Coturnix japonica: one gene and its partner. The protein of the gene in region 1 interacts with the protein of each later gene in a pairwise test. Links are inferred from orthologs where the notes say so. Each region holds a gene or a part of one and is shown on either strand. Other genes may lie near its edges.

Region 1 (5,226 bases):
CCAGGGCTGGGCATGTTCAGGTTGAGGACTGTGAATCCAAGCACAACCATTTCAGTTTCTACACGTTGGATGCATGCAGACCCGATGTGTGTTTCTCTTTATGAAGTCCCCGCTATCAAACAAGTGCTTGGTGTCCCAATGCAGTGAGAACGCCAAGCAAATGAGCAGCAGCCCCGTGAGTGCTGTGTTGTATAACCAGATGAAAAGTCCTTGGGATTTGTGGACTGAGCTTTTCCCATTTGTCTTCCAGAGGTCAAAGTCTGAGGCCAGCAGCAATGCGGGTCCGCCCGGCTCCTAAAGGAGAACCTAAAGCGGGTTTGTGCTGCTTCCTTGTGGGTTCTGTGCTCATCCTATAAAACGGTGCTGCTCCAAAGTGAGCCCTGCCCCCATATCACCCCATATCACCCCATATCACCCCATATCACCCCATATCACCCCATATCACCCCATATCACCCCATACCACCTGCTGCATCATGGCTGTGTGCTGCTGACGTGTTGGATGGAGGTGGACGCAATAAGTCCCTTTTCTTCCCATGGCTGATGAGATCTTTCTCTTCCTGTGGATGAATTCTCTCATTCCAGCTCGCCCTGAACATACGATGCAAATTAAACCTGGTGTCAAATAGACCTTCGAGAGGGAACTGGTCTTAGAAATGATTCCTACAAATCACTGGGATGAGCCTTTATGTGTGTTTCCATCTGGTTTCTCCTGCTCTGGATGCTCCATGTGATGCACACACAGAGCGGAGCTTCTAAGGAGAGAAAGTCCCTTCATGTCCAGCCATCCCTCTGAGCTTTGCATTTAGATTTCTGCTGTCTCTGTGTGCGGAGATGATTTGTCCATAATTACTCGCTTTCTCCAGAGTCCTTTGAAGCTCCTGTCTCCAAACCAGTCCCTTACATTGAGAATAAACCACTTCCAAGCCACCAATAAAATGTGAGCTGTGATTAAAGCCCGGCTCCTCGCTTCGGGAGCTGTTTCCTAAGTGAGGTCAGCACAGTAGGAAGTTTTGCCTTGTGTGCAGGGTTATGCAGGAGGACAACCCCTGTGCTGCACTGAGGTGTGGGGGGGCTCTGTGTGATGCAGGACGGAGCTGAGCTTTATTGAAATATATGGGGTTGTTATGTGGGAGAAGGTAGGAAGTGGTGGTTAAGGGCGGTCTGTGCCCTCTGGATACTCTTTGGGAGGATATTGTGATGGGCTTCAATTCTATCGCCCTGTTTGCTGCAGGAGGTTAAAGCCGCACTGAGCGCTGCCTGCATGGGGATCTCCATCTGACCCAGACAAAACGTGGGCTCACTTTTGGGTCTCTCCATCCCAAGTGTGTCCCCCTGGCGACCCCCCATCCCCCTGCGCTGCTAATGGAGCCCAAATCCCACCGCCCCGTTGGGTGTCCGTGGGGAACGTGGGGTCCGCGTTGTTCCGCGTGGCCGTGGAGTGACACCCCAAAGCTCTGGGGCTCCATTACCCAGCCGGGACCGTCCCCCGTGGGCTCATTTGGCCGCGGACATCACGGAGCTGCAGAGGGGGGCAAGGACGGCGGGTCGGTGCCGCTCGGAGCCGGGCGTTGAGCTGGACGCCGCTGGGGCTCCGTTCCGAGCCGGGTCACACCGTGATGCTGCGATTGAAGCCGGGGGAAGCAAAACACTCGGACTCACCCCACGCCGCCTTCCCACCCCGCCCCGCTCAGCGCCTTTCCGCGCTCCCAAACCTCCCCCGTTTATTCGGGAATCTCGGTATCTCTCCGCTCCCCCCATACCCCCTATATCCCCCTATACCCCCTATATCCCCCCATATCCCCCCGCTCCCCAGCACCGCCCCCTCCCCGCTCTCCTCTTCCCGTTCCGCCGCTCTCCTCGCTGCGGGGCGGTGCTGGGGGCGGTGCCGTTCTGTGATTGCAGCTCCGTTTCTCCCATCCCTCCCCCCCCCGCCTCCCCCGCGCCACCCGGAGCCTCGTCCCCGCTCCGCCGCTCGGCCCAGCAGCGACACAGCGCCCAGCCCGGCCCCGCAAAGCTTCTTCCCCCCCTTCCCCTCCCCCAATGGAGGAGCAGCCCCCGCACCACCCGCACCACCACCACCACGGGCACCACCACCACCACCACCACCACCCGCACCACCGGCACTTCTGCTATTACCCGCAGAGCTCCTTCCTGCCGCCGCCCGACGGCCGGGCCCAGCCCAAAGCGACGCTCCGACACCCGGAGGGGCCCAAGCGGAGAACAGGTGCGGGGCGGGGGGCGGCGGGCGGCTCCTGGGGGGGGGGCTTCATCCTTCATCCATCCTCCATCCTTCATCATCCTCCTCCCCCGGCCCGGCTGGAAGCTTCTCCGCCGCGCTGGGGCCGCTTCCTGTCCGCCATGTTGGAGCCGGCGCGGCTGCGGGCGGCGCGGGGCACGTGGGGCTGCGGAGCGGTGCGGGATGATGCGGGACGGGGTGGGAGCGGGGGGAGCGGGACGGGGAGCGGGGACAGGAGGAATGTGCGGGGGGAGCGGGCGGGACACACACGGTGTGCGGGGCGGCGGGACCGCGTGGGGCGGCGAGAGCGATAACGGGGGGGAAAGGCCGGGCCGGGCCTGCGCTGCGCGGGGCATGGACGGGACCAGCCCCTTTTACCCCGCACCCCCCTTTACCCCACACCCCGTCCCTTTGCACGCCCCTTCCTCGCCGCCCCCCCCCCGCCCCCCCGGCCCAGTTGTTGATTTGGGGAGAGAACGGAGCGGCCTCGGGAATTGGAGCCTGGAAGTGCTGACACGCCGAACCGAACCGAACCGGGCCAAACGTGCGGTCAGAGGGATCCACGTGTGTGCGGTCCCATAAGGATTCCCTTCCATAAGGATTCCCTTCCATAAGGATTCCCTTCCATAAGGATTCCCTTCCATTAGGATTCCCGTATCCCTTAGACCTGGAGCTCTGACATCTGCCCCGCATCTGAGGCTCCAGGATGCACAGATAAGGGCTGCTCCATCCAGCAGCGTTGGCGATGACCAGAGCATCCATCCCCAAACCGCAGCTCAGCCCAATCTGCTGCTGTGCCGGCACGTGTCCCCTTTGAGCGCTGCTTTTCGCGGTGCTGGAGGTGCCGTGGGCCCGGCCCGGTGCTGCAGGGACACGATGCCACCAGCTCCGGGCTGAGAGGAGCAGCCCCTGTTAAAGCATCCTGGGAATTTCCTCTGCGTGACCTGGAAATGGTGCTGATGAAATCGCTCTCTGGATTGCGATGGGCTTTGCAGGGCTGCCTGCTTTCCTCTCCTCGCATCCCTGTGTCCCTCCTGCTTTGTTTTGCTCCTTGTGTCCAACAACGCGCTGCTGTCCCTGTGCTGTGTGTGAATCCATGGGTGGTGCTCAGCCCTGCTCTGTGTGGATGGAGATGGTGTGGATTGGGCAGCAATAGGACAAGGGGGAATGGGTTGAAACTGAGACAGGGGAGGTTTGGGTTGGATCTGAGGAGAGGGTGGTGACACACTGTAGTGTGTCCCATGTTGCCCAAGGAGGCTGTGGGTGCCCCATCCCTGCAGGCATTCAAGGCCAGGCTGGATGTGGCTCTGGGCAGCCTGGTTGGTGACCCTGCACACAGCAGGGGGTTGGAACCAGATGATCATTGCGTTCCTTTGCAACCCAGGCCATGCTGTGCTCCTGCGGTGGTTTTATGGGGGAGCTGATGTTTCCCTATTTCAGAACACCTTGAGGAAACGGGGCGCAGCTTGTTGCAGTCAGAACTTTAATGCTGCACATTCTCATCTTTGCTCTTTTGTCTCTTCTTGGTTTCTTCCAGGCTATGGAGAGCTGAACGGTAACGCAGGGGACAGAGAGGTGTCACTGAAGTCTCTGTGCTCAGAGGAGACCACCAGCCCCACGTCCAGGGTGCCCAATGGCAGCCAGCAGCCCGCAGACCCCAACGTGACCCCGAAGCCGTCTGTGAAGGGCAGCTCTCTGGGGAAAGCCGCCATCAAACCCAAGAATTTTGTTCAGAAAAATAGCATGGACAAAAAGAATGAGAAGCCCTACGACAGCAAAGTGAGGGAGGCTCAGCCTGCCGACAAGCAGGACGGGGTGTCCGTCCCCAACGGCGTGGTGAGCGGCGGTGCCACCTACATCACCAATGGCTACGTGGGCAAAGGGGGGGCCGACAACGACGGGAGCGGCTCCGAGAGTGGCTACACCACCCCAAAGAAAAGGAAAGGCCGGCGCAACAGCGCCAAGGGCTGCGAGAGCTTGAACCTCACGCAGGACAAAGTAATGCAACAGGAGGTCGGCACGCCGGCCCTCAAACAGGAACTGGAGAGTTTCAAGCCTGATTATAGCGAGCAAAAGGGGAACCGAATTGAGAATACGAAGCCTGTTTGGAAATACGAGGCGGGGGGCGGCGGGGCGGGCAGGGGGAAACCAGGAATTGGAGACGTGCAGAGGAAAAACTCGGATGCCAAACCTGGGATTAGCGGCAAGAAGTTTGATGAGCGGCCCAAAGGGAAGCACGCTTCGTCGGCCGCGTCTAAGGAGGACTCGTGGACCTTATTTAAACCACCCCCGGTTTTTCCAGTGGACAATAGCAGTGCTAAAATCGTTCCCAAAATAAGTTATGCAAGCAAAGTTAAGGAGAACCTCAACAAAGCAGCTCAGCCCCCATCTGCGTCTTCGTCATCGTCGTCTTCATCATCTGCCGGGGAAGCTCAGCCCGCCCCGTCCAGCCGGCTGTCCCAGGTCCCCATGTCTGCTATGAAGTCCGTCACTTCTGCCAGCTTCTCCAACGGGCCCATCCTGGCCGGGACGGATGGCACTGTGTACCCTGCGGGCGCTCAGCCCCTGCTCGCCTCCGCTGCTGCTGCTGCTGCTCCTGTCCCTCCCACCCCCAGCGATGCGGTGACCCCGGACGTCGGCGCAGCCCCAGCGGCTGTGGAGCAGAAGAAATCCAACCTTTTTATCTACCCTTCCAATATGCAAACCGTGCTGCTGGGTACGGCTCAAGTCGATTTCCCGTCGCAGACGAATCAGCAGAACCTGGGAGATATCTTCCAGAACCAATGGGGTTTGTCCTTCATCAACGAGCCCAGCGCCGGCCCCGACACCGCGGTGGGGAAATCTGCCGATAGCCAGTCAATGGAAGTGACGTTTCAGGGGGAATATCCCGCCGCGTTGGTTTCACAGTGTGCTGAAATCGTCCCCTCAGGAGCTGAGCAGCCCGTGTTCCCCAAGGCGTACGAGCTGGACAAACGGACTAACCCATCC
Region 2 (5,268 bases), on another chromosome or scaffold:
GAATCAGGTTTTTAGTGAGGTCCAGGTTCCTGTAGAGATATTTTGCTGAGCTGGCAAGGATGAGTCAATAAGCTCAGTCCATGTTCAACTCCAGAATCCTGTTGGCTCCCAGTCCTCCCCTCTAAACCCTTAGACCACACAGCTTCCTTTTCATGTAAACCCCAGACCACAGAGCTTCCTATCCACCTGCTAGCCAGTTAAGTCTCATGCCATATAGTGCTTCAGTATATAACAGTGCATAGATCTCTCTGTACACCTCTCACCTGTGCTTTTCCAGGACTCGAAAGGCAGATGGTCAGTGTGAAAGCAGTCAGTATCCTGTAATGTGCACAGAAAATAGGCTGAAAACCTTCTGATAACCAGGCTCATTACACAGAATTAATTACACACAGAGAAACTAATCTCTAGTGACACTTCAGTGCATTCCAGAGTTTTTTGGCCTCTGGAGAGAGAGTAATATGATTGTGGGCCACATTCAGATCTCAGTCAGTAGTTTTACTTTGGTTTTATAAAACTATGACTAAAATCAGCCTGTACGTGTCAACTAACTAATCTGTTTTATATGATGTTCCATGGAGAAGCTGTTTGCTGAGGAAGTGCATAATATTCAGCAGAGCATTGTTGCCCCTGTCTGTGGCACCTTTCTTTTGACAATATCAAAGTTTTTCATGCACATTATTTGCATTTTACAGGTGGGTAAACCAGAGAACAGGCCATGCCTAAGCTCATCGTGCAACTCATTGGCAGGGCTGCAGAGATGACATGCAGGAGGTCCTGAATCCAAGCCAGTTGCACTAACCGCTAAACCGCACTTCATCCCCAGGAGACTATATTTGAGATTAATCCATTTTCTTTAGGTCAGATTTTGTCCTTCTCCCCAGCTCTCAGTGATACATTGCCCTGTGTGTACACAGACTATGACAGGACATCAGATACTGGAAGCTGCTGTCCTTAGTGGAGATCTCCTGTGTTATACCACCTACTGGGGCTTGCTGAGTCTCTTTGCTGCAACTGACAGAAGAGGGTCCCCAATAACAGAGCTCTGTGGCTATACATGGGACTCTCCAGTCACCTAACCTGCACCCCCATGTATTTATTCACTGACAGAAAACCAGGACAGGACAGCAAGAATTGATTTTTCTCTATGTACTGTGGGTTTCACTGTTTTGCCTCTTCCTTACATCAAATTTCTTTTCAATGCAGTTAAACCTAAATCTTGCGTAGCTTGGATTTTAGTTCTGAATGGCAGTAGTGTATGTTTCCCACAAACCAGCACAGAAATCACAAGATATTTTAGATAGTCTTAGTTCTGCTACTCCAGTGAGCTGCCAACTTTCTCTTTTAGAGCTGTCTCTGATTTCCAGTGTGAAGTGAGCTGCTGAACAAGACCTAGAAATGCACCAGACAAAACCAAGCACAGAGACTGACACACTTGAACACGTTTGCTTTGAGTGTGGAGACAGACACAAACTCTGAAAAGTAAACACAAACTCTAAAATGGTTGTTCGTAGTGCTGTGGAGATAGATAGGCTGTGCCTGTTGGCAGCTTCTGAGTGACAAGGAGAAGCAAATTCTACACAGACTTTTCCTTGACACAAAGCATTCAAAGTACAGCATTATCCACCTACACTTGCATTTCAATTTTGATTACTTAAACCTTTTTGAAGTCATTTTAAAGTAGCACAGAATACAGAGACTGCACCCTCAGTTTGCATATGGCAGTAACAGCACTAGAGGGAAGTACAGCAGGTTGTAGCTGAACACTAACACACCTAGCTGCCTCGCATACCTAGGGCTGCACTTCACATTATTGCATGCTAACAATACCCACTGTAAAATCAGTCAGACACAATTCATATTTTTCTAGACAGTCTTTCCGTTGTTGCAGGGTAATACATGCTTCCCTGCCGGCATGGAGAGTGACCTTATTGCCTCATACGTGTTCTGTCTGCAGCCACCATCACAATTTGCTCGTTACTGAGCTCTCTTATCCCCTCCAGAGTTATTAACAGACATGCAGCACACCGTATCACTGCTATATTCAACTGGTCACAGTAGCTTGTCTGGCAGGCAGAGTATTTTGAAATAGTAATTAACTTCTGCAGTAGTAACTAATTAGCTTCAAATTAATCACTGCAGTCAGGGGACCCATTCGCTGTTGCAATTCAGCACTCCCACAGATGCTGGGATTCTTAAAGTGCAGAATATAAGCGCAGATCAAGAAGAAAATTGTCATAGAGAGTTCAGCTTTAATAACAGACAGATCGTCTTCCCCCACCTCTGACCACTGAGATCCCGTCTCCGTGCAAATGGCTTCAGCAAGTGGATTGGCATATCGAATCCTCTCCACAGATATTTTCCACACGTAGGTTTCCCTTCAGTAAGCACAGAAGTTTCATGCATAGCTCTTACCTTTTTAATCCTTGCATGTCCAAAACCGTTGGGAAAAGGTGGAAAAAAAACAGAGCTCGTGCTGATGAATAACTAGAAAGTGTTTCCAAACATTACCCTCTGCTAGCACTTCAGTTCCTCAGTCATTTATAGTCCAAAGAATGAAAGAGCAAGTAACGGAGAAGATCGGGAGCAGTCCGTACCTCCTCAGACACTGGAGAGAATACAGAGAAAGCACCTGGTTTTGCTTAGTTCTCTTCTGTAATTCAGCATTAAACCAATTGGAGGAGGAATGTTAAAAATGAACACTTCATTTTCTAAGTATGTTAAACAATGCAAATGGGGGCCTCAGCCTGGGACAGCTGGTTTAGATTACAAAGCTCACCAACTGGCTAGACTCCTCACAACAATCTCGAGGAGCCTGCCAGGATAAAACACTAACAGCTTGAAGGAAAGCCTCTCCCGCTGCAAACTTCTCAGTTAAATGTGCCTCAGAGCACAGAGCACCGTTATTGGACAGAAACTCTTATCAGGGGACTGGAGAAGGGAAGGGATTGTTTTCCTTGTTCTGAGAACAAAAAAAAAAGTCAGACTTTTTTGAGGCCCTCTAGCCGGTGTCTCGGACGATGAATATGCAACACCCATAGCTTCGTGCCAACGGCATAGCGATGAAAGTTCTGACCCTCTGGGAGGTGAATAACTTGAATTCATGACAATCACAGCTACAGGAACTATATTGCTTGGGGATTATTTGAAAACAGGAATAAACAAATTAAACGTTCAAAGGAGAGCAAATGGTTTGTCTACAAACACTGGTCCTTTTTAGGCTGACCCCGTGCTTAAGGGAGAAGTTTTGAAATGAAATTTCTCAGGAAAGACGTATCTTGCAGATCTCCAGTTTTGACTGAAGAGGAAGGAAATATGGTCCCTTTTCAGGTGTTTTGCAACTCTGCCCAAGGCACAACTTCGGCAGGTCAAGCAGAACATTTACGAGATGTGAGAGGTAAGCAATCAGATGCTGCAGAGATTATGCTAGACCCAAAACGAACACAGAAATGAAATGCAGACATAAACATAAAACGAATACTTTGAACTTCTGTAGAGCCCCCATCTGGGAAAACCTTTCATTTCCAAGGAACTGGAAGGTCTGATGAGATCAAATCTCTGTCACATCTCTCCATCATTATGGGGAAACAGTTAGGACAGATTTTCCTAGAACTGGCCTCAAAGTGTGGATACACAGCATAAGAAACAATGATTCAGCTGCTTCAGGGCTGCTGAGCACCCAGAAGTCACATTGGAGCTGATGGGATAAGAGTTCCATTATCTACATGATTAACGAAATGACAGCACCAGAAGCTCAGTGCTGCTTTTGACAGCTTGTTCCTTACATCACTTGCATTGCATGGAAATGTAAACTCTCCCCTGGGGTGTCAATATTTTTGCAGACCAATTAGAACCAATTAATTTATTTAAAATAAACTTCTCCAGGGCTTAAGAAAAACACACACATAAGAATTCTGGCAAAGCTGGTCGTGTTTTTTTCATGGATCAAAAAACTAGCAAAAACTGGGTGAGTTTTCATTTAGGCAAAAGTTAACAGTCAGTAGTGTTGTCATTCCATCACAGGACCAGTGTTGCTCAATGATCTGGAGAGCCAGCAAGATTACAACTCACCATGCCTGTTATATTCTAAGTGCACGATCTACTGAAGCTATTAGAAATATCTCTACAGCAAAGCAGATGCTCTGATGATCCATACTTGTGGATGAACTGGTTTCATATACTTCTTAATACTTCATTTGCTGTTCCGTGGAAGTTTTCTTGCTTTCCATGGCAAAATCTTTAATGCATGCCAGAATCTCGGCATGGGTGCAGCACAAGTCTGTTCCTGGCTCAGACTGAAGAGCTCTGATTCATCAGCCATCTGGAAGAGGTGCTCCAGCGCTGCAAACGGGAGGTGAATCCAGCCTCGATCAGCTAAGCGGCTCCCTTAAGAAGGGATACTGTACAAATGTTTTGGTTTTTCCTGTCTCCATCAGGCAGCTGGAGTGGATAAAATCCAGAGTATAAAAAGGGCACCAAACCACATCTTGGGTTAGTTTGTAACGTGGTGATTTTTTTATTCCTAAATAAAAGGAATGTAATTCCTAAATTAAAGGATTGTTATGGCTAAGTGATTTTTTTGCAGTTCCTTTTGGTAACTACTACCTGCTAGACTCACATCTTTCTTTGGTAAGAAGAGTTGCATAAAGAAAAGCATTTTTGGTACACAAAAACTCTTTTGTTTACCCTGTAAACAGAGTATCTTTCAACACCACCTACTGACACTTATGTGCAGGATGGTGGTGAGACTTCAGTTGGAGCAGCTCACTTACTTCAATGGTCAAATGGTTTCCTCGTGTTCTAAAATCCACTAGTTTAGATTACCTTGACTTTGTCTTCTTGAGGAGGTGTAGAACAGTTCACAGTACAGAATGGGGTTCTGTTAAGTAATTGGATTTGGTCTTGAAAACTTGCTTTGCACATAGAGCTAGTGTTTATTGTGTTTATTTAGTGTTTAGTGTTTATTTAGAAAATTATGTAATGTATGAACATAAAGGGCACATAAGCTATGTAGCATCCCCTTAACTCTACCCTCCTTGGATGAGAAAGCAGAGTATGAATTGTGCCATGCTCCCATAGGTAATGCAGAACTCTGCAATAACAGTGATCCTCAACACCAGAGAACGTGACATAACAGCTTCTGAATGCACAGACAAAAGCTGTATGTAGGTCACAGTACCCAGGGAGAGTTAATTACACACAGCATTCCTGAACAAAAAAGTCTGCTTCACCAATACAAGTCTTATTCTACTTTTACTACATTTCATCTCA

What was found.
Region 2: the proteins of NUFIP2 (region 1) and FBLN5 interact in binary tests that used the Homo sapiens proteins (3 or more experiments, as listed by UniProt). The link is inferred for Coturnix japonica from reciprocal best matches to the Homo sapiens genes NUFIP2 and FBLN5.

Annotation. Positions count from the first base shown.
Region 1 is NC_029534.1:4,760,720-4,765,945, reverse strand, and holds the start of NUFIP2 (nuclear fragile X mental retardation-interacting protein 2), read left to right. Parts: upstream 1-1,932; 5' UTR 1,933-2,042; coding exon 2,043-2,226; exon of another isoform or gene 2,227-2,473; intron 2,474-3,775; coding exon 3,776-5,226. UniProt on the Homo sapiens protein: Binds RNA.
Region 2 is NC_029520.1:40,373,097-40,378,364, forward strand, and holds the start of FBLN5 (fibulin-5), read right to left. Parts: upstream 2,890-5,268; 5' UTR 2,430-2,889; coding exon 2,413-2,429; intron 319-2,412; coding exon 264-318; intron 1-263. UniProt on the Homo sapiens protein: Essential for elastic fiber formation, is involved in the assembly of continuous elastin (ELN) polymer and promotes the interaction of microfibrils and ELN. Stabilizes and organizes elastic fibers in the skin, lung and vasculature.